Anolis sagrei: one gene and its partner. The protein of the gene in region 1 purifies or fractionates together with the protein of each later gene. This does not show direct contact. Links are inferred from orthologs where the notes say so. Each region holds a gene or a part of one and is shown in the gene's direction. Other genes may lie near its edges.

Region 1 (9,403 bases):
TATTATAAACATCGAAATCACATAATCCAAAAAACATAGTCCAAGGCCGTTCCAATATCAAATATCAATAGCACAAGTATAGAAAGATACTTTGTAGTAGAGGGTCCGGAATTGGAGGTGCCCGATATATTATAGCAGTTTGAGTTGCAACTTAGTTGGGAGAAAGGGAGGTATGAGGTGATCTCCAGCTAAGACTGAAAAGCAGAACTGAGGTGTGGGGATTTGGGGGCAATGGAGTTAGGGTTGCTGGTGGTCCTAGGAGGCTCGAATGAGGCTGCAGGGATAGTGGCCATTGCCACTAATTTGGCCCTCCATCCTTGGGAAAATATAACTTACTGGGGACTGAACTATGACTCTTTTTATTTAGGGGGGAGGGGTGATTATGTTTGATAACACCAACAAAAAATCCTCTTGGGTATCTTGGTTTTTAGGCCTGATCCTGGGGTTATTTGGGACGCTGATTTAGAAAATTGCATTGGCAAGATTTCATCAGCTGTAGTTCCTTAGATATGGTTATAATGATTTCCTATGGCTGACTAGACGAAGACAGATACTTTATATGGCATATGTTGTGTATCTTAAAAACTACAGCTGATAGGCAAAAGCCAGTGCTATTTTTGGAATCAGCAGGTAATAATAATAATAATATTTATTTATTTGATCAGTCATATGACCATTTCAAAATAGAACATGAGTAACAAACAAGGCAACAAGGTGATAAGTCAGAATCTTATTTTCCTGGTTCTTCTTTCAGGAAATCTGCTCTTTTCTTAGTAGCTTTCAGAATAAAAAGGCTTACTCTGATTATGCTGGATCTTTCCTGCCCTTGCAAGAGGGATGTCAGAATATCATTTCTGTTGGGGGACCTGCAGTTGGATAATATTGGATGTAAATATCTGTCTTGCAGTTCAGTGTATGCTGGACAGTCAATTAAGAAATGTTCAATGTCTTCCACTGTTTGTTCTCCCCAGACGCAGAATCTCTCACTTCTTGGGAGGTTACAGTAGCAGGTCAAAAATACCCAGAAACAGGTCTAACATTTCAGGCACCAAATGTTTACTAGACAAAAGAAAACATATATGATATATTCTTTGTGCCTTGTCATTCAGTGCAAGTTTCTGACATTCTAATATTACCATGTTAATTAAATAACATATGACCTAGCAAAATGCTCATTGTTTCACCCCATTATCACCTGAAGGCACACCCCAAGATTTTTCCCCCCAAGGAAGATCATTGCTGAGAATTCAAATGAACTCCTGATAAAACTAGTAGTTTGAATACTGCATTGCAAAAACAAACTCCACTTCAGTGCCCTACAATTCAAGCTACTTCAAGGTTGTTTCTGGTGTTATGCTGATTCAGGGCAGAATATTCATGAATGCTTCTTACAACTCACAAGAGCTTGGGGCTTTCTGGTTCATCAAAAAGATGCCGGGGGGGGGGGGGGGGGGTTGGCAGCGGGTGGTGAGTATTCTCTCACACAAGCTGATCCAATAAAGTTATTGACATCAAGTTCAGGACAAACAAAATAAAGTATTTCACACCTGTCAAGGTAATTACTGCAAATTGTGGTTATGGTTGCTAAATTAGATGGGTTTTTAAAGGCCTAGACAGATTATTGGAGGTTGCAGTGATCAACACTTTTAAGTCATGAGACTTAACCTTCCATGACCAGTAGTTGTAAACATCTGAGTACCAGATGCTCTGAATAAACAACAGATTGGGACCTTTGCCTTCCTGCCCTTCTTATGAACCTCTAGCGCACCTGGCAGGTGATTGTTTGAATGTTGGAGTAGATGAAACTTGGTCTGATTCATCAAAACAGTTCTTCTGCACACAGAAGCCTTATGAGAACTGACCTGTAGGCAGCCAACTAAGGTGACCTGTAAGTCTGAAACACACCTTTGGGAATAAAAATAAAGAACTGAAACCTGTCAAGGAAGAAGCAGAATTTGAGTCATAAGTCAGGGCTGAAGTGTCAGAGCTTAGAAAGATATTGCTATAAACAAGCCAGTGGTAAGGGAACCTTTGGTCACCTAAATCTTTTGACATATAGTTCCCAAGGTTTATTACCATTGGTGACGCTGGGTGGGGTGGATGGAAGGCTAAAACATATGAAAGGGAAATGTTTCCCTACATTAGATTTACTGTTTAGACTCAAATATAGACTCATAAGTGATCAACTACGGTATAGTCAAGCTCATATGTAAGTCAACCCCATTTATAAGTTTTTCTTTTAATTTGCATTTGGATGACGAATTTAACTTGGCGAACCACTTTTAATGTATATTTATAACCGTTTTAATGTATATGGTTGTATTTTATGATATGTTTTATATTGTGTTGGCACTGAATGGTTGCCTGTTGAAAGCCATCCTGAGTCCCTCTTCGGAGGTTGAGAAGGACGGGGTATAACTGTTTTAAATAAATACACACATATATAAAACCAACAATTTTTGGAGGCACAGTGAAGTGCCAGCTATGTCTTTATTTTAAAGTCGTTTACATTTTCTAAGCTTTTTAAGGCATGTTATCTGAGCTTTTTCCAATGTGAAAAAATACATTTAAAAGCTTTTAGGCCTCGTGCCATATATTTGAAATGATATGCCTTCAGATGTGATAATTCAACAGGTCATACCCCAAATTACCGCTATCTGACATGAACTATATGTTTTAACAGAGAAAGACTGATGTGTATCAAATAACACAAAGGATATAAAAAATTGTTGCTTTAGAAAATCTGATGCTTGAGTGACATGTTAGTTTAATATTATATTTTGTATTTTATTCAGATAATTTGTTTTACAATTAGATTGTAAAGTTTTATGATTCTTGTCATCCCTTTACATTTGCATATTTGAGATTGTAAGCCACTGACAGAACCCTCCATTTGGGGGTGTTTTCTTGTAAAGTGCCTTGAAAATGGATGGTTACACACACACACACACACAATTATGCTTTTTATGAAAAATGGGTTCAAGATACAATATTCTTAATAATATATATCCATTTAGAAAACAGGTTGAGAGGAGCTCTTAGTTTTACAATTGCCAATTTAAACATATCTAGAAATAGATAAATTTAATCAACCTGTACTACTTGAACAAAAGGTATATCCTGGATTAAGGCCACTGGGATGCTGGCAGCTTTACGGTGAAGGAGACTAAAGGTGGTTAAGAATTATTTTAATGGTACTACTCCTCTACCATAAACTATTGAGCGTACCTAATCTATGCTACTTATCGTTATTCTTTTCTCTCTCTTATCTGTCATTTTACAGTCTTCCCCCTGTTTCTCTGTGTTGTCACAAAAGAGTCCTACAGGCAACCATTGGAAGTGGCCTGGTGTCATGTGATAGCCTCCGTGGGACTCTGTTTCAGTAGCACAAAGAAATTGAGAGAAGACTGAAGGGATTGTGGCACAGCTGGCTGTCAGCTGCATTAAGAGCACTCTGACCAAAAGGTCATGAGTTTGAAGCCAGCCCGGGTTGGAGTGGGCTTCCAACCAATTGTGTAGCCTGTTGTCGACCTTTGCAACCCGAAAGACAGTTGCATCTGTCAAGTAGGAAAATTAGGTACCACCTTGTGTGGGGAGGCTAAATTAACCAATTTATGAGGCCTTAAAAAAGACTCCAGCAAAGCACTCCAGCAAAAGCATGCGAGGAATGCGGAAGTACTTCATCAGTGTCGCAGAAGGACGATGAAAGCGACAGCTCCCCTGGCAGCCAGAAAAAGGTAAATAGCCTCTGTGTATGTCTGTATATGTTGCATGTCAAATTGGCATTGAATGTTTGCCATATATGTGTACACTGTAATCCGCCCTGAGTCCCCTGTGGGGTGAGAAGGGCGGAATATAAATACTGTAAATAAATAAATAAATAAATAAACATGCCCAGCTCCTTAAGCCACTCCTCATAGGGCTTGTTCTCCAAACCCTTGATCATTTGAGTCGCCCTACTCTGCACACAGTCCAGCTTGTCAACATCTCCCTTCAATCGCTGTGCCCAGAATTGGACATTTCAGGTGTGGTCTGACCAAGGCATAATAGAGGGGGAGCATGACTTCCCTGGATCTAGACACTATACTCCTATTTATGCAAGCAAAAATCCCATTGCCTTTTAAGCTGCCGCATGACATTGTGGTCTCATGTTCACCTTCCTGTCCACGAGGACTCCAAGATCTTTTTCACATGTCGAGCCAAACATCCCTCATTCTGTATTGTTGCAGAATGACTATGAGGATGGAGACTGCTTTTAGCCCAGTGGGTCCTCCATCCTTGATAAAACTATAAATCCTTGAGTTTGATTTGTGTATATATTTTATTGGGGGCAGGCTTGTAGCCAGGATTTTGTTTCGGGGGGGGGGGGGGGGTGAGTTTGATTCGGGGGGGGGGGGGTGAGTCTGAGTGAAAGAGGCCCTACCCTAGCAAACCTTTTGTATCATTACCCCAATACCCCCATACATATGGGATATATTGAGCATGGTGATCAGATCATGATATGAATAAACATAACAGTTTAAATAATGTACCAGTAAGGTCTTCTCGCGGACCACCCTGAGAATTTCGGGGGGGGGGGGCTGAAGCCCCCCAAGCCCCCCCCCCTCCCGGCTACATGCCTGATTGGGGGTGGTGGTCTGGTGTCTTTGATGGCTCAGTGCTACATCACCATGGGATCTGGAGCACAGTGAGGCACCAGCACTCTTTGCAGAGAAGGTTGAAGACATTGGCAAACTACAACTCCCAGGAGACCATAACATTACACCATACCAACTAAAGTGGTGTCAAATCGCAGTAATTCTACAGCAAACTTGCACCGTGACCCAACACTCAGGCCGCCTGATACCGTAAGTTTACTTATTTATAAGAATCTCATCATAGCTCTCAGCCGTGAGGATCCATGTCCCTTCCTGGGCCTTGGGGGGGGGGGGGTGGGCGAGTGGGCAGCCCCTCCCTCCCTCCCTCCCTCCCGGAGCCGAAAGGCCAGGCGAATGCTTGGAGCGTTGCCCCGGCAACCCTCTGGCGGCTGCTGCTGCTCCTCCCTCCCTTGAACTCGCCCGTACCGAACGCATCTCACTCAGCATGAGCCGGCCGGCGGCCCGTCGCCGTGATGCATTGTGGGCCTCGGCAATATGGCTGCCTCCTTGTTGAGTTGCTGAGGCGAGTTTGGCTCTCCGGGACGTTTCCCTCCCGTTCTCCTCACCCGGCAGCCCGGGGCTTTTGTCCAGGGAGAGGAGCCGCCACCTGCCCGCGGCGGGGATGGCGATGCGGCGGACGGGACCCCCATCGCAGGAGCAGCAGCAGCAGGAGGAGGAACGGCCGGGCAGCGAGCAGGCACCGCCTCGGGGGTAGGAGCGTGCTCCCCTCGCCGGCCCACGCCAGAGAGAGAGGCCTCCCGGCAAGGAGAGCTTGCCCGCCGCCGCCTGGACCGGACTGGGCCTGGTCGAGGGTGGGCGTGGTCTTCTCAGCCAGGAGAAGCGAGCCAGGCCTGGAGCACAGAGGCGCCAAGCAGCCCCGGTCCCTGCCAGCTCTGCCGCTCCTCGTCGTCCTTTGGCCAGGGCCTGTCTCTGCAGTTCCCCCATCGTCGCTCCGGTTGTGGCGCCCCGGACCTCCTTCCCATTGGACCCAGAAGCACCACCCGTTTCTGCAAGCATCCCCCTAAGAGCACCCCACAAAAGGGCCCTTAACAGGGACACGCTCCCAGCAACAGCTTCCCCTTTTCACTTGAAAGGAGGCTTCTGGTGTGACTCTGCAGCTGAGTATCCTCACTTCACCTGTCCTCCCTTGGCCACAATTTCCCAGTGTCACTCCTCCTGACCTGCTGTCATCCTGCTTTTATACTTTGTTCCTTCCTTGCAGTGGTTGGAGTTCTTTACTAGAATCACATTCTTCTGCCTAAAATACTTGTAGGCCCATCTTGATGAACTAAGCAGTCTCTATTGTGGAACATTGTTTTCGTGATTTGAAATGACTTTTATGTTTTGTTTAGATTGAGAGGCATTTCGCAATTGCACACCCTATTTGAGAAAGTGAGTGGGAGAAAGAACCTCCATGCACATCTGTGACTTGATTCTTCAGCTAGACAGTGATCATCCATTTCCTGCAAGATAGTTGTCTCTTGTATCGTGATTGCATTACTCACCAAGCTTGCTTCTTCCAAACTGGAAAGCCCCCCCCCCCCCCCCCGCTGCTGAAAAGAGAATATTTCTACACACTTTAACAAACAACAGCATTTGAACAAGACACCTTTCCCTGAAGCGTCACCTGGAACTGCAGTTGAGAGGTTCCCTTGCTCTCCTAATAGCTTTTTTGCTCATACTTTGTTGATCCTTGACTTTTGATCATTGGTTCCCTTGGTTCTTTCTCCTCTCATGGAGTCAGATATGTTGCAGTCTCCCCTACTGGGGCTTGGGGAGGAAGATGAATCAGACATGACTGACTGGAATCTGCCTTTGGCCTTCATGAAGAAGCGGCACTGTGAGAAGATTGAAGGCTCCAAATCACTGGCTCAGAGTTGGCGGATGAAAGACAGGGTAATGATCTCTAGTTACAGTTTTTGTTTGGGAGAAAGAAAAGATTTGCATGTTCTGTTCAACTAGATTCTACACACTTTTTCTGTAGGTCTTGTACATTCCTGGTTGAATTCTATTAATTTATTTTGTGTTGAACACTCAATAAATGTAGCCAACACTGCATGCTAACACGGCACCAAATCACTAGGTTTAAATAATTTGCTTTTTCTTCTTTGAAAATGAATTAATTCTAAGTTAATTAAAATGAGGTCTTAACATTTACTTGGCAAGTATCTGGATGGAGATTGCTTCATGTGGAAGTGTCATGTACAGATTTGTTCTATTAGTGAATTTAAAGTTCTATTTCCTTAACCATGTGTCACATGGGACATTTCATTTTTAATGAAGCTAAAAATGAGAGTGACAACATTTATGAAAATTATACACAACAAAATTTATTTATACAATGGTGTTGTTCTGGTTGTTTTAGAAATGGAAATCCACAAGAAATTATAGAATCTCTGTTCCAGACTCAATTATTTCTCCTGCTAACTTTTTGCAGGAAAGATTATACAGTCAAATTGCTGTTGTTAGGCATTCTAGAATTATTTGTTAATTATTATGTTGCCTTTGAGGAAGTTTAGATAATCAGCGAATGAAGACATTTCTGAGAGAGATAGCTAGTGGGAAAACTTATCAGTCAAATCAACTCCTAAAGTATTCCCTTATATTGATTTACAAAAGTAGGGTTTATGTTTAACAGCAGTATGGAACTTATCTTTATAGCAAGTGAAAAAATTAACCAAAATAACTTGGAATGTTGCCTCATTTGAAATGTGTCTGAATATACAGCTGTCTGTGACCCTGATTACATGGTTTGTTTCACAGCATCAGTATGTAAATAAATCAGTACTAGTCTCACAGTGCTAAAAAGAGATATTTTCTTCCTTGCTCATTCACTGTGGTAAAGTGCTGTTCTGGTACAGCTGCTGTGGAAACTGTATAAGTGCTGGGAGAAGCTTTTCTATGGCATCTCTTTTCTATGCATATGAAGTCGTAATATGGAAATGAATAGTGATTTAGAACTTCTAAAGCTTCTTGAATGCATCTTGTGGTCTGTCAGAACCTACTTTTTCTGTAACACAAGAAGTAGGATTTATGGGTTTTGGGAGTATCCAAGACAACTTAGTGCTGTAAGCAGGATATATGACTTTTTGTTTAATGGTTTATTGTAGATGTTATTTATAAAATTGTATATTATAAATGGTAGTGTAACTGTTTTTTTTATTTTAAAAACAGTAATTAGATATTGCTAAACTTAAAACAAATGTTTGTGGCTAACATGCCGAAGTTCATTTTAATGTGATTGTAAAGGAGCTTAGCCTTCTCTGAGTTCATCCATACTTTCTTACTTGCCCCTTTCATTCCAGTCAGGAAGGCTTCTAGAAGCTTTTTGTTTGGAATGAGTTGTGCCCCAAATGTTAATGATGATTAGATTCTAAAAAGCTGACCAAATACTGTTTTTTGAAATAAATTCTTATATTAAGCATGGCGAATATTCATTTCAGTCCAGCTCTTGATAACATTGCAAGCCATCGCTGACTGAAAGTGAAAGTGTTTAAACGCCTTCAGGGCTCTGCAAGAAGAGAAAAGGGGAGCAGGAAGTTTTTGAGCCCGGGAGATACATTAATGCAGGGGTCTTCAAACTTTTTAAACAGAGGGCTAGAAACAGTCCTTCAAACTGTTGGAGGGCCGGATTATAATTTGAAAAAAATGAATGAATTCCTATGAGTAATTGCACTTATCTTATTTGTAATGCAAAAACTTTAAAACAATACAATAATTAAAATAAAGAACAATTTAAACAAATATAAACTTACTAGTATTTCAGTGGGAAGTGTGGTCCTGCTTTTGGCTGATGAGATAGGATTGTTGTTATTGTTGTGTGCTTTCAAGTAGTTTCAGACTTTGGTTGACCCTGAGTGAGGGCCGGGTAAATTACCTTGGAGGGCCATATTCGGCCCCCGGGCCTTAGTTTGAGGACCCCTGCATTAATGTTTTTCTAAAGAATAGGAAAAAAATAGACAATGTATTTTATATACACAGTCCCAATACCTGTTAACATTTTTATTGTCTACAATGCTTTGATATGAAAAACTGCAAAATCTGTAGTTGTTTTTTTTTTTTTTGAAAATCCATCTCCTGCACATTTTGGAAACTTTGATCATCTGCTTATTGTTGAGTATTTCTATGTTTGCAACGTAGTGAATTTTTATGTTGATCTTCTATGCTAACCAAGGGTTGTTTGGGATTATTTTCTGCGACTTGTTTTCATTATATATTTTTATGAGGTGGGGAATACTTCTTAAAAACTTTTGTAAGTGAAGCAGGAATAAAAAGAGGTACACAATATATTAAGTACAGAAACAAGTGTCAAAACTGCATTAGTTAAGCTTTTTTGTGTCTCTTTCATATAGATTTTAAATTACGATAAATACTTAATTTTTCATCCTAATAACAAAACAAGACAATCTGTCTTGTTTCTCTCTTCTGGAATTAATTTCAGCAAGGACTACTAGAATTCAGCCCAGAACTTGTTTTGGTTTCCATGGAGGGCTCAGACGAAGGAAACAGATTATTTCAGATCATTCATAAGTGCCTTTTTTGTCAATGAGTGAAGGAAATATGTGCTATCTTACTTTAAATAAACCCTACACTGAAGCTAATCTTTATTTAACGCAGCAGCAAGTGCAGCCTTTAATTGGAGTTTATTTCACACCTTTTACTGGAGAGTCAAAGTTCTTAAGCCTGTTAACGCTACACTCTTGGGAACTTTGTATTAGTATACTGAATAACAGCGCCTTCCAGAATAAAAACCATATTTACACAGA
Region 2 (10,168 bases), on another chromosome or scaffold:
TTAGTATATTGTTTACTATATTATTATTATCATCATCAATCATCAATGTTATTATTATTATTAGCTATTATTAGTCATTATATTGTAATATTATTTTTGTATATCTCTCTATATAAAAATATAAAAAAAAATGCTCTGTGCATAATGAGTACCTCAAAAACAAAAGAACCAATGAACAAAATCACACCAAATTTGGCAACAAAATGTCTCACTACACACTCAAAAAATTATGATTTTGTCATTTGGGAGTTGTAGTTGCTGGGATTTATAGTTCACCTATAATCAAAGAGCATTCTGAACTCCACTAACAATGGAATTGAACCAAACTTGGCACACAGGCCTCCCATGACCACCAGAAAATACTGAAAGGGTTTGGTGGGCATTGACCTTGAATTCTGGAATTGTAGTATACCTCCATCCAGAGAACACTGTGGACTCACACAATGATGGATCTGGACCAAACTTGACAGGAATACTCAATATGCCCAAATGTGGACACAGAGGGATTTTGGGGGAAATAGACCTTGACATTTGGGAGTTGTAGTTACTAGGATGTATAGTTCACCTATAATCAAAGAGCATTCTGAACCCCACCAATGATGGAATTGGGCCAAACATCACACACAGAACCCCCATTATCAACAGAAAACTCTGTGCGGTCTTTGGTGACCGTTCTGACACCCCCCCCCCCCCGGGTCTTGACTTCCCAGGTTGAGAAATGCTGTCTAAGGCCATCCAGTCCAACTCCCTTCATCAGGGCCAGAAAACATAATCAAAGCCCTCCTGACAAAGGGCCATCCAGCCATTCACGCACACACATGTATATGACAAATAGAGTATCATAGATTTGAAAGGGACCCCTAAAGAAGGACAATGATATGTTGCATCTTCCAGAGTAAGTAAAACAGACAATCTCCACATCAACACTGACAAAGAAAGAACAAGAAATACTGTTTACCCACAAGCATCAAGACATTACATATATTAGAAACCAACACTTTCTCATTACTTTATTTTCCAGATCACCAGACTGGGCCACAGCAACGAATGGCAGGGGACCGCTAGTTATTTACTATATAATTAATTATTATTATGATCAATAATCAGAATGATCTCAATTCGAGTGCAAGGAAAGCCTTTCAACATCACAGTGATCCAAATATACGCCCCAACCACAGCTGCTGAAGAAGCAGAAGTAGATCAGTTCTATGAGGATCTGCAGGACCTACTGGATAATACACCAAAAAGAGACATTATTTTCATTACAGGAGACTGGAATGCCAAGGTGGGAAGTCAAATGACAACTGGGATCACAGGCAAGCATGGTCTGGGAGAACAAAATGAAGCGGGACGCAGGCTGATAGAATTCTGCCAGGAAAACTCGCTGTGTATAACGAATACTCTCTTCCAACAACCTAAAAGACGACTTTATACATGGACCTCACCAGATGGTCAACACCAAAATCAGATTGACTACATCCTTTGCAGCCAAAGGTGGCGGACATCCATCCAGTCGGTGAAAACAAGACCTGGGGCTGACTGTAGCTCAGATCACGAACTTCTTATTGCCCAATTTAGAATAAAACTAAAGAGATCAGGGAAAATACACAGACCAGTTAGATATGATCTCACTAACATTCCTAGCGAATATACAGTGGAAGTGAAGAACAGATTTGAAGGACTAGATTTAGTAAACAGAGTCCCAGAAGAACTATGGACAGAAGTCCGAGACATTGTTCAGGAGGCGGCAACAAAGTACGTTCCAAAGAAAAAGAAAACCAAGAAGGCAAAATGGTTGTCTGCTGAGACACTGGAAGTAGCCCAAGAAAGGAGGAAAGCAAAAGGAAACAGGGATAAGGGGAGATATGCCCAGTTAAATGCGCAATTCCAGAGGTTAGCCAGAAGAGATAAGGAACTATTTTTAAATAAGCAATGCATGGAAGTGGAAGAAGACAACAGAATAGGAAGGACAAGAGACCTCTTCCAGAAAATTAGAAACATTGGAGGTAAATTTCAGGCAAAAATTGGTATGATAAGAAACAAAGATGGCAGGGACCTAACAGAAGCTGAAGAGATCAAGAGAAGGTGGCGAGACTATACAGAAGATCTGTATAGGAAGGATAACAATATCGAGGATAGCTTTGACGGTGTGGTGAATGAATTAGAACCAGACATCCTGAGGAGTGAGGTTGAATGGGCCTTAAGAAGCATTGCTAACAACAAGGCAGCAGGAGACGACGGCATCCCAGCTGAACTGTTTAAAATCTTAAAAGATGATGCTGTCAAGGTGATGCATGCCATTTGCCAGCAAATATGGAAAACACAAGAATGGCCATCAGACTGGAAAAAATCAACTTATATCCCCATACCAAAAAAGGGAAATGCGAAAGACTGCTCAAACTTCCGTACAGTGGCCCTTATTTCTCATGCCAGTAAGGTAATGCTCAAGATCCTGCAAGGAAGACTCCAGCAATACATGGAGCGAGAGTTGCCAGATGTTCAAGCTGGGTTTAGAAAAGGCAGAGGAACGAGAGACCAGATTGCCAATATCCGCTGGATAATGGAGAAAGGCAGGGAGTTTCAGAAAAACATCTACTTCTGCTTCATTGACTATTCTAAAGCCTTTGACTGTGTGGATCATAATAAATTGTGGCAAGTTCTTGGTGGGATGGGTATACCAAGCCACCTTGTCTCTCTCCTGAGGAATCTGTACAAGGACCAAGTAGCAACAGTCAGAACTGACCACGGAACAACAGACTGGTTCAAGATTGGGAAAGGCGTCCGGCAAGGCTGCATACTCTCACCCAACCTTTTTAACTTGTATGCAGAACACATCATGCGATGTGCGGGGCTGGATGAATGCAAAGCTGGGGTGAAAATTGCTGGAAGAAACATTAACAACCTCAGATATGCAGATGACACCACTCTGATGGCCGAAAGCGAGGAGGAGCTGAGGAGCCTTCTAATCAAGGTGAAAGAAGAAAGCGCAAAAGCCGGGTTGCAGCTAAACGTCAAAAAAACCAAGATTATGGCAACAAGAATGATTGACAACTGGAAAATAGAGGGAGAAACCGTGGAGGCCGTGACAGACTTTGTATTTCTAGGTGCAAAGATTACTGCAGATGCAGACTGTGGCCAGGAAATCAGAAGACGCTTACTTCTTGGGAGGAGAGCAATGTCCAGTCTCGATAAAATAGTAAAGAGTAGAGACATCAGACTGGCAACAAAGATCCGCCTAGTCAAAGCCATGGTATTCCCTGTAGTCACCTACGGATGTGAGAGCTGGACCTTAGGGAAGGCTGAGCGAAGGAAGATCGATGCTTTTGAGCTGTGGTGTTGGAGGAAAGTGCTGAGAGTGCCTTGGACTGCGAGAAGATCCAACCAGTCCATCCTCCAGGAAATAAAGCCCGACTGCTCACTGGAGGGAAAGATACTAGAGACAAAGTTGAAGTACTTTGGCCACATCATGAGGAGACAGGAAAGCCTAGAGAAGACAATTATGCTGGGGAAAGTGGAAGGCAAAAGGAAGAGGGGCCGACCAAGGGCAAGATGGATGGATGGCATCCTTGAAGTGACTGGACTGACCTTGAGGGAGCTGGGGGTGGTAACGGCCGACAGGGAGCTCTGGCGTAGGCTGGTCCATGAGGTCACGAAGAGTCGGAGACGACTGAACGAATGAACAACAACATGATCAATAATATATACCCTGGACTTTCCAGAGATATATAAACCCAATTTTCCTAGTTTCCAACAGACCTCACAACCTCTGAGGATGCCTGCCATAGATGCAGGCGAAACGTCAGGAGAGAATGCTTCTTGAACATGGCCATACAGCCCGAAAAAACTTCAAAAATCCAGTGATTCCAGCCATGAAAGCCTTTGACAATACATTACTGTTATTAATGTCAAGTCAGGGGCGACTTGAGAAACAGTGTGAGAGAATTGGCTATCTGCAAGGGTGTTGCCCAGGGGACGCCTGGATGTTTAGATGTTTTACCATTCTTGTGGGAAGCGTATTTCATGTCCCTGCATGGGCAGCTGGAGCTGACAGAGGGAGCTCATCTGTGCTCTCTTCAGATTTGAACCTCCAACCTGTCGGTCTTCAGTCCTGCTGGCACATGGGTTATTATTATTCTATTATTATTATTCTATTATTATATTGCGATATTATTATTTTAATCTATTATTTAGTTTGTTGTTCATTCGTTCAGTCGTCTCCGACTCTTCGTGACCTCATGGACCAGCCCACGCCAGAGCTCCCTGTCGGCCGTCACCACCCCCAGCTCCTTCAAGGTCAGTCCAGTCACTTCAAGGATGCCATCCATCCATCTTGCCCTTGGTCGGCCCCTCTTCCTTTTACTTTCCACTTTCCCCACATTATTTAGTATATTAAATTATTTAGTATATTAAATAATTATTTAGTATATTATTATTATTATTGCTTTTTTTATATCCCGCTCCCTCCCCTGATGAGACTCAGAGCAGCTTACAAAAAAAAAGAAACAAACAATAATAAACACACTGTCAAAAACAGCCTCAAACAGAGAAGAGTTATTTCTCCTACCCTGTACATTATTTCATAGATATATAAACCCGAATTGCCTAGTTTACAACAGACCTCACAACCTCTGAGGATGCCTGCCATAGATATGGGTAACGTCAGGAGAGAATGCTTCTGGAATATGGCCATACAGCCCAGAAAACTCACAGCAACCCAGTGATTCTGGCCATGAAAGCCTTCGACAACACAATGTCAAAAATAACTCAATAACAATAAAATAAACAAGGCAAACACAAAACATTGTTGCTGTTATTGTTGTTGTTGTTGTTGTTGTTGTTATGAATTACCCCCTTCTAGCCATCTGTCCCATCCAGGGCTGGGCAAAGATGATCCTTCCAGATATTATTATTACTATTATTATTATTGTTACTAGATTATTAATATATTACATTATTAATAATGTTATGTGGGAAAGAGAAGATCTCTCCACTTAATATTATTAGTACTAATATAATAAATTATTATTTTTATTAGCCTCTTCTAGCTTTTCTGCTTCATTCAGAATTATGAAGAGCAGATTCCTTCACTTATTAATATTATTAGTACAATATAATAATAATAGTATTATATTGAATTACATTATAACATCATTATCAATATTACATGTATATGCATTATATTAGCATAGCACAATATTAGTATTATACATTACTATATTAATAATATTACATGTAATATATAATATACAATTATTATATATAATTATAAAGTACTATATTATTATTATTATATATAATACACTATTAGTATATTATATTATTGGTATCATAACATATATTGTACTATTATAAGTTGTCGTATATATTATATATATTACAACATTATTATTATATATATTAGTATTATTACATTAAAATGTTATTATTGTATGTATACCTCTCTTAATGCATTGCATATATATGCATGTGTGGTGGTGCAATGCATTAACAGAAGTATATAAATATATACATATATATATACACACACATTGTATATTTACTATGTATATATGCATACTCCTATTAATTTGTCTTATTGTTTGCTGTCTGAAGTCCCTATATTGGAAGCCAGACAGGATTTATGATTTATGCATTATCATAAATCATCATTTTCTATATCAAAAACATCATCATCCAGGGACTGGAGGCTTGGGTGAGCTTCCCTGACAGACGCTACTGCGCATGTCCGAGTTGGGCCCTGCTCTGGCTTTCCCACTCTCTGCCGACAGGTGTCGCTGCTTCCCTATGGGGCGGCCATAGAACTAGGAACACTTTCCCATGTGTTCTAGGGTCTCTTCTGCGCATGCGGACTGGTTTCCTCGTTTCACATGCGCACTAGGTGCCCAATGGATGCTCGTGTGCGCATGCGCCGTGGCTGTCTTGTTCCTAGTCTGCCTGTCTGCCCAGTAGTCCTTCCTTTAATTCCGAAGGTAAGTAGCAATTCCCCCACCCAAAATATTTATATTTCTTATACTTACGTTTGTGTAATTTCTGAGCTCAAGGTTGTCCATTTTCTGCCCTAATTTATGCTGACAATGAGCCCTGCAAGATGGGAATAAGAGGCTCAATGAGGACCAGAAGCTTGGATCTCCCAGCTTAAGGGCCTCTAAACTCAGAGACCCTACAACAACAACAACAACAACAGTAATCATAATGATGCAGACTGTGCATTCCTTTTTCCCAAATACTCCAAAATGATCCCCATTTGCGAGAGTTTTAAAATGCATTTTATTATTTTAATTTCTCTTTGCTGTAATGTCAGAAGGTCCTTAATTGTTTATTATTTCAATGCATGTACATTGCTTCATTGAGTAGTTTTTAATGCCTTTTTAATATGTTTATGTCCATTTGCTTTAATGATGGAAAGGGCCAATTTTTATTTTTATTTATTTATTTAGGGTATTTCTACCCCACCTTTCTCCGCAACTGGGACTCAAGGTGGCTTACAGCATACCAACATATAACATTCATCATAAAAAGGTAAAACCATAATAAAAACATCGATACATAAAATAAGGTAAAAGCAATAGCCTCCCCCGTGTTTGCTTCCCTATGTACCAACATTAAAATCCCTAATATCCTCCCATACTTCAGTTAAAAGCCTTATTAAACGGAAAGGTTCTATGCTTCTATGCATGTACGTCACTTCATTGAGTAGTTTTTAATGTATTGTACTATTTTATATGCATTTGTTTTAATGGCAGAAAGTGAGGGTAGAGGAAAGGATGGGAAAGGAAGGAAGGGAGAAAGGAAGGAAGGAAGGAAAGAAGGGTGAAAGGCTGGAAAAAAGGAAGGGGGAGAGAAGGAGGGATAGAAGGAAGGGCAGGTCTATGAGGGAAAGCAAGGGAAGGAAGGAAGGGAGAAAAGGGAAAGAAGGGCAAGGGAGAGAAAAAGGAAGAGGAAGGAAGGAAGGACGGACGGATGGGTGGAAGGAAGGAAGGGAAGAGAGGAAGGAAGGATGAAAGGTTGGAAAAAAGGATTTGGGAGAAGAAGAAGGAAGGATGGAAGGAAGAAGCAGGGAGGTTGCATGAGGGAAGAAGGAAGAAAGGGAGAAAAGGGAAAGAAGGAAGGAAATGGGAGACAGAAGAGGAAGGGAGAGAGGGAGGGGGAGAGAAGGAGAAGAGAAGGTCGAAAGGCTGGAAAGAAGTGGGAAAGAAGGAAGGAAGGAAGGAAAAAGCAGGGAAGGTATAAGGGAAAGCAAGGGGAGAAGGAAAGGGGAGAGAAAAAGGAAGGAAGAGGGAGAGAGGAAGGAAAGAAGGATGGAAGGAAGGAAGAGAAAAAAGGAATGAAGGAAGAGGGAGAGAGGAAAGAAGGAAAAAAGAAAAGAGCAGAGAAGGTGTATGAGGGAAAGCATAGAAAGAAGAAAGGAAGGGGGAGGGGAAAAAAAGAAGGAAAAAAGGAAGGAAGGGAAAAAAGAAAGGAAGGAGAAGGTGTAGGAAGGAAACAGAGAGGAAGGAAAGAAAGAACCATAAAGAAGATGAAAACTGGAGTCCAGTAAGAAAGACCTTTGTGTGGATGTTTCCTCAGGCCACAGAGGCATGAACACCGCACAGGGCACCGTGGGCAGCGACCCAGTCATCCTGGCCACCGCTGGCTATGACCATACTGTCCGCTTCTGGCAGGCCCACAGCGGGATCTGCACCCGGACCGTCCAGCACCAGGACTCTGTATCCTTTGGCTGCATGGGAAGGCAGAATGCTGGGGTTTACAACCTTCCTAGGGGTTTTTTGGAGGGCTGGATGGGGTTGCCTTCTGTTTGCCCCTTAACCCCTTTTGCCAGCAGGTCAATGCTCTGGAGATCACCCCGGACCGGACCATGATAGCTGCAGCCGGTAAGGATGCCATCTGCAGACAGCATGGTGTAGCATAGTTTGTGTGCTTATTACATGCTTTCAAGGGAGCATCTACACTGTGGAATGAACACAGTTTGACACCACTCTTAACCCCAGTGGCTCAGTGCTACTTTTTGAGCTTCTCTGTCAAAAAGCACAGGTGCCTGACTGATTTCACAGCTTCAAGCCAGGACAGTTAAAATAGTGCCAAACTGTATTACCTTCAAAGTGTAGATGAACACCGAGTCCACTCTAGCCGTATAGTTTTATTCTTAAAATCTTTTGTCAAAGAGGCAATGTTTCTTGATGTTTTACTTTCTTTCCTTGTAGTGCTAGAAGTCCACGTTATAGAGATTGAACCATTCTTGACCCACTTCAAGTGCATCATTCTACACTGTAGAACGAATGCAGTTTGACATTGCTTTAACTGCCATGGCTCAAAAATATAGAGTTGTAATTTTGAACTTTTTGGCAGAGAAGATGAAAGACTTTATAAACATACATCTGCAGAATTCATTAGCATTGAGCCCTTGTAGTTAAAGCAGTGTCAGGCTGCATTCATTCTACAGATGCACCCTGGGTCAATAATTATGTGTTTTTGAGAATGGCTGCCTCTCTCTGAGAAGTAGAATTGCACCTGAACCCTCTTATTTGTGATGCTGGCATTAATAAATAACTTCCAGGCCTTTGGGAGCTGAGATGGTGTCTCTTCTGCAGGCTACCAGCACATCCGGATGTATGACTTGAACTCCAACAACCCGAACCCCGTCATCAACTACGACGGAGTCAGCAAGAACATCACCTCAGTGGGTTTCCATGAAGATGGGCGCTGGATGTACACTGGGGGAGAAGACTGCATGGCCCGTATCTGGGACCTCCGGTTTGTGGCCTCTTTCCTCTCCTTAACCCTGATGGGGCTTTTGCACAACACTGTCATCCCACTTAGCATGGCAACAGGACCCTAGGATATCCAGTTCAGGAGGGGCAGCTAGAATTCTCCCCCAGAGAGCTCTAGTGCCTCATCAGACTACAGATACCAGAATTCTCCAAGTGCAGAACGTTATTAAATGTGAAATAGGCACAGAGCATGGAATGCAATTCACCAATGCTTTTTTAGATCCACGGTGTGGACCCAAGAGGGCACACTTCTGCAAATGTGCTGCATTCCTCTGCCTTCACACATTATAATGTATATTATATCTGGGTATAATATATCCATTGGATTGTTGACCTTCACCCGTCTGGAATCGATTTCTGCTTTCCAGGTCACGCAACCTGCAGTGCCAGCGCATCTTCCAGGTGAACGCACCTATCAACTGTGTTTGCCTGCATCCTAATCAGGTATTTATTTGTTCCAGAGTGGTGGAGAATGAGGCCCTTTCTTCCTTCCTTTCACACCTCCTCCTTTTCCTTTTCTACTGATGCCATTTGTGTGTCTCTCAGGCAGAGCTCATTGTCGGGGACCAGAGTGGGGCCATCCACATCTGGGACCTGAAGACAGACCACAACGAGCAGCTCATCCCAGAACCTGAGGTCTCAGTCAATTCCGTCCACATTGACCCTGACGCCAGCTACATGGCCGCTGTCAATAGTTCGGTCAGTGCAAAGAGGGACTTTATTATCCCACTTGCCCGTTTGTTTGATCTTCAGTGTATATTGTAAACTGGACCCCTTAGGTTCTGTGTTCCTTGTATCTTGCAGGGCAACTGTTATGTCTGGAACCTGACTGGTGGCATCGGAGACGAGGTGACACAGCTCATTCCCAAAACCAAGATCCCTGCCCACAACCGCTATGCCCTCCAGTGCAAATTCAGTCCAGATTCCACGTGAGTAGCAGCATTAGCAGAGCTTTTATTTTGTCCATCCACTTGCCCTTGGAATAACCTGAGGGATCCAGTGTGGCCCAGTGGTTTGAATGCTGGCCTGTGACTCTATCCCCAGAGATTCTTTTTATCATCTGCCCTTAAATGGTGGACTGTTGTATTTTAAAACACAATTAAATGCCTATCTCATCGGCAGGCCTACCCAGCCAATTTTAAATGATAAATTTTACATTTAGTATTTCTGTTTTAATTTTTTTGTTTTTAATATATGGATTCTTATGGTCTGTTGTTTTATATTGTGCCCCAGCTCAAGCCATTAGGACAGGTGGGTAGCAAATGCAATTGACCAGATACAAATCCCCATTCAGCCATGGAAACTCACTGGATGTCCTGGGCAAATTAGCTCTTTGAAGAATCAGAGTTGGGTGAGTCAGAGAGACCATGGTTCAAATCCCACTTTGGCAATGAAGACTG

What was found.
Region 2: the proteins of RPTOR (region 1) and MLST8 purify together in Homo sapiens (affinity purification with western blotting; 15 studies listed by BioGRID and IntAct, with this or other methods). This does not show direct contact. The link is inferred for Anolis sagrei from reciprocal best matches to the Homo sapiens genes RPTOR and MLST8.

Annotation. Positions count from the first base shown.
Region 1 is NC_090022.1:130,446,416-130,455,818, forward strand, and holds the start of RPTOR (regulatory-associated protein of mTOR), read left to right. Parts: upstream 1-5,077; 5' UTR 5,078-6,371; coding exon 6,372-6,533; intron 6,534-9,403. UniProt on the Homo sapiens protein: Component of the mechanistic target of rapamycin complex 1 (mTORC1), an evolutionarily conserved central nutrient sensor that stimulates anabolic reactions and macromolecule biosynthesis to promote cellular biomass generation and growth.
Region 2 is NC_090034.1:21,488,616-21,498,783, forward strand, and holds the start of MLST8 (target of rapamycin complex subunit LST8), read left to right. Parts: upstream 1-5,876; 5' UTR 5,877-5,969; intron 5,970-6,437; exon of another isoform or gene 6,438-6,519; intron 6,520-7,566; 5' UTR 7,567-7,577; coding exon 7,578-7,706; intron 7,707-7,819; coding exon 7,820-7,871; intron 7,872-8,588; coding exon 8,589-8,751; intron 8,752-9,136; coding exon 9,137-9,212; intron 9,213-9,314; coding exon 9,315-9,467; intron 9,468-9,572; coding exon 9,573-9,697; intron 9,698-10,168.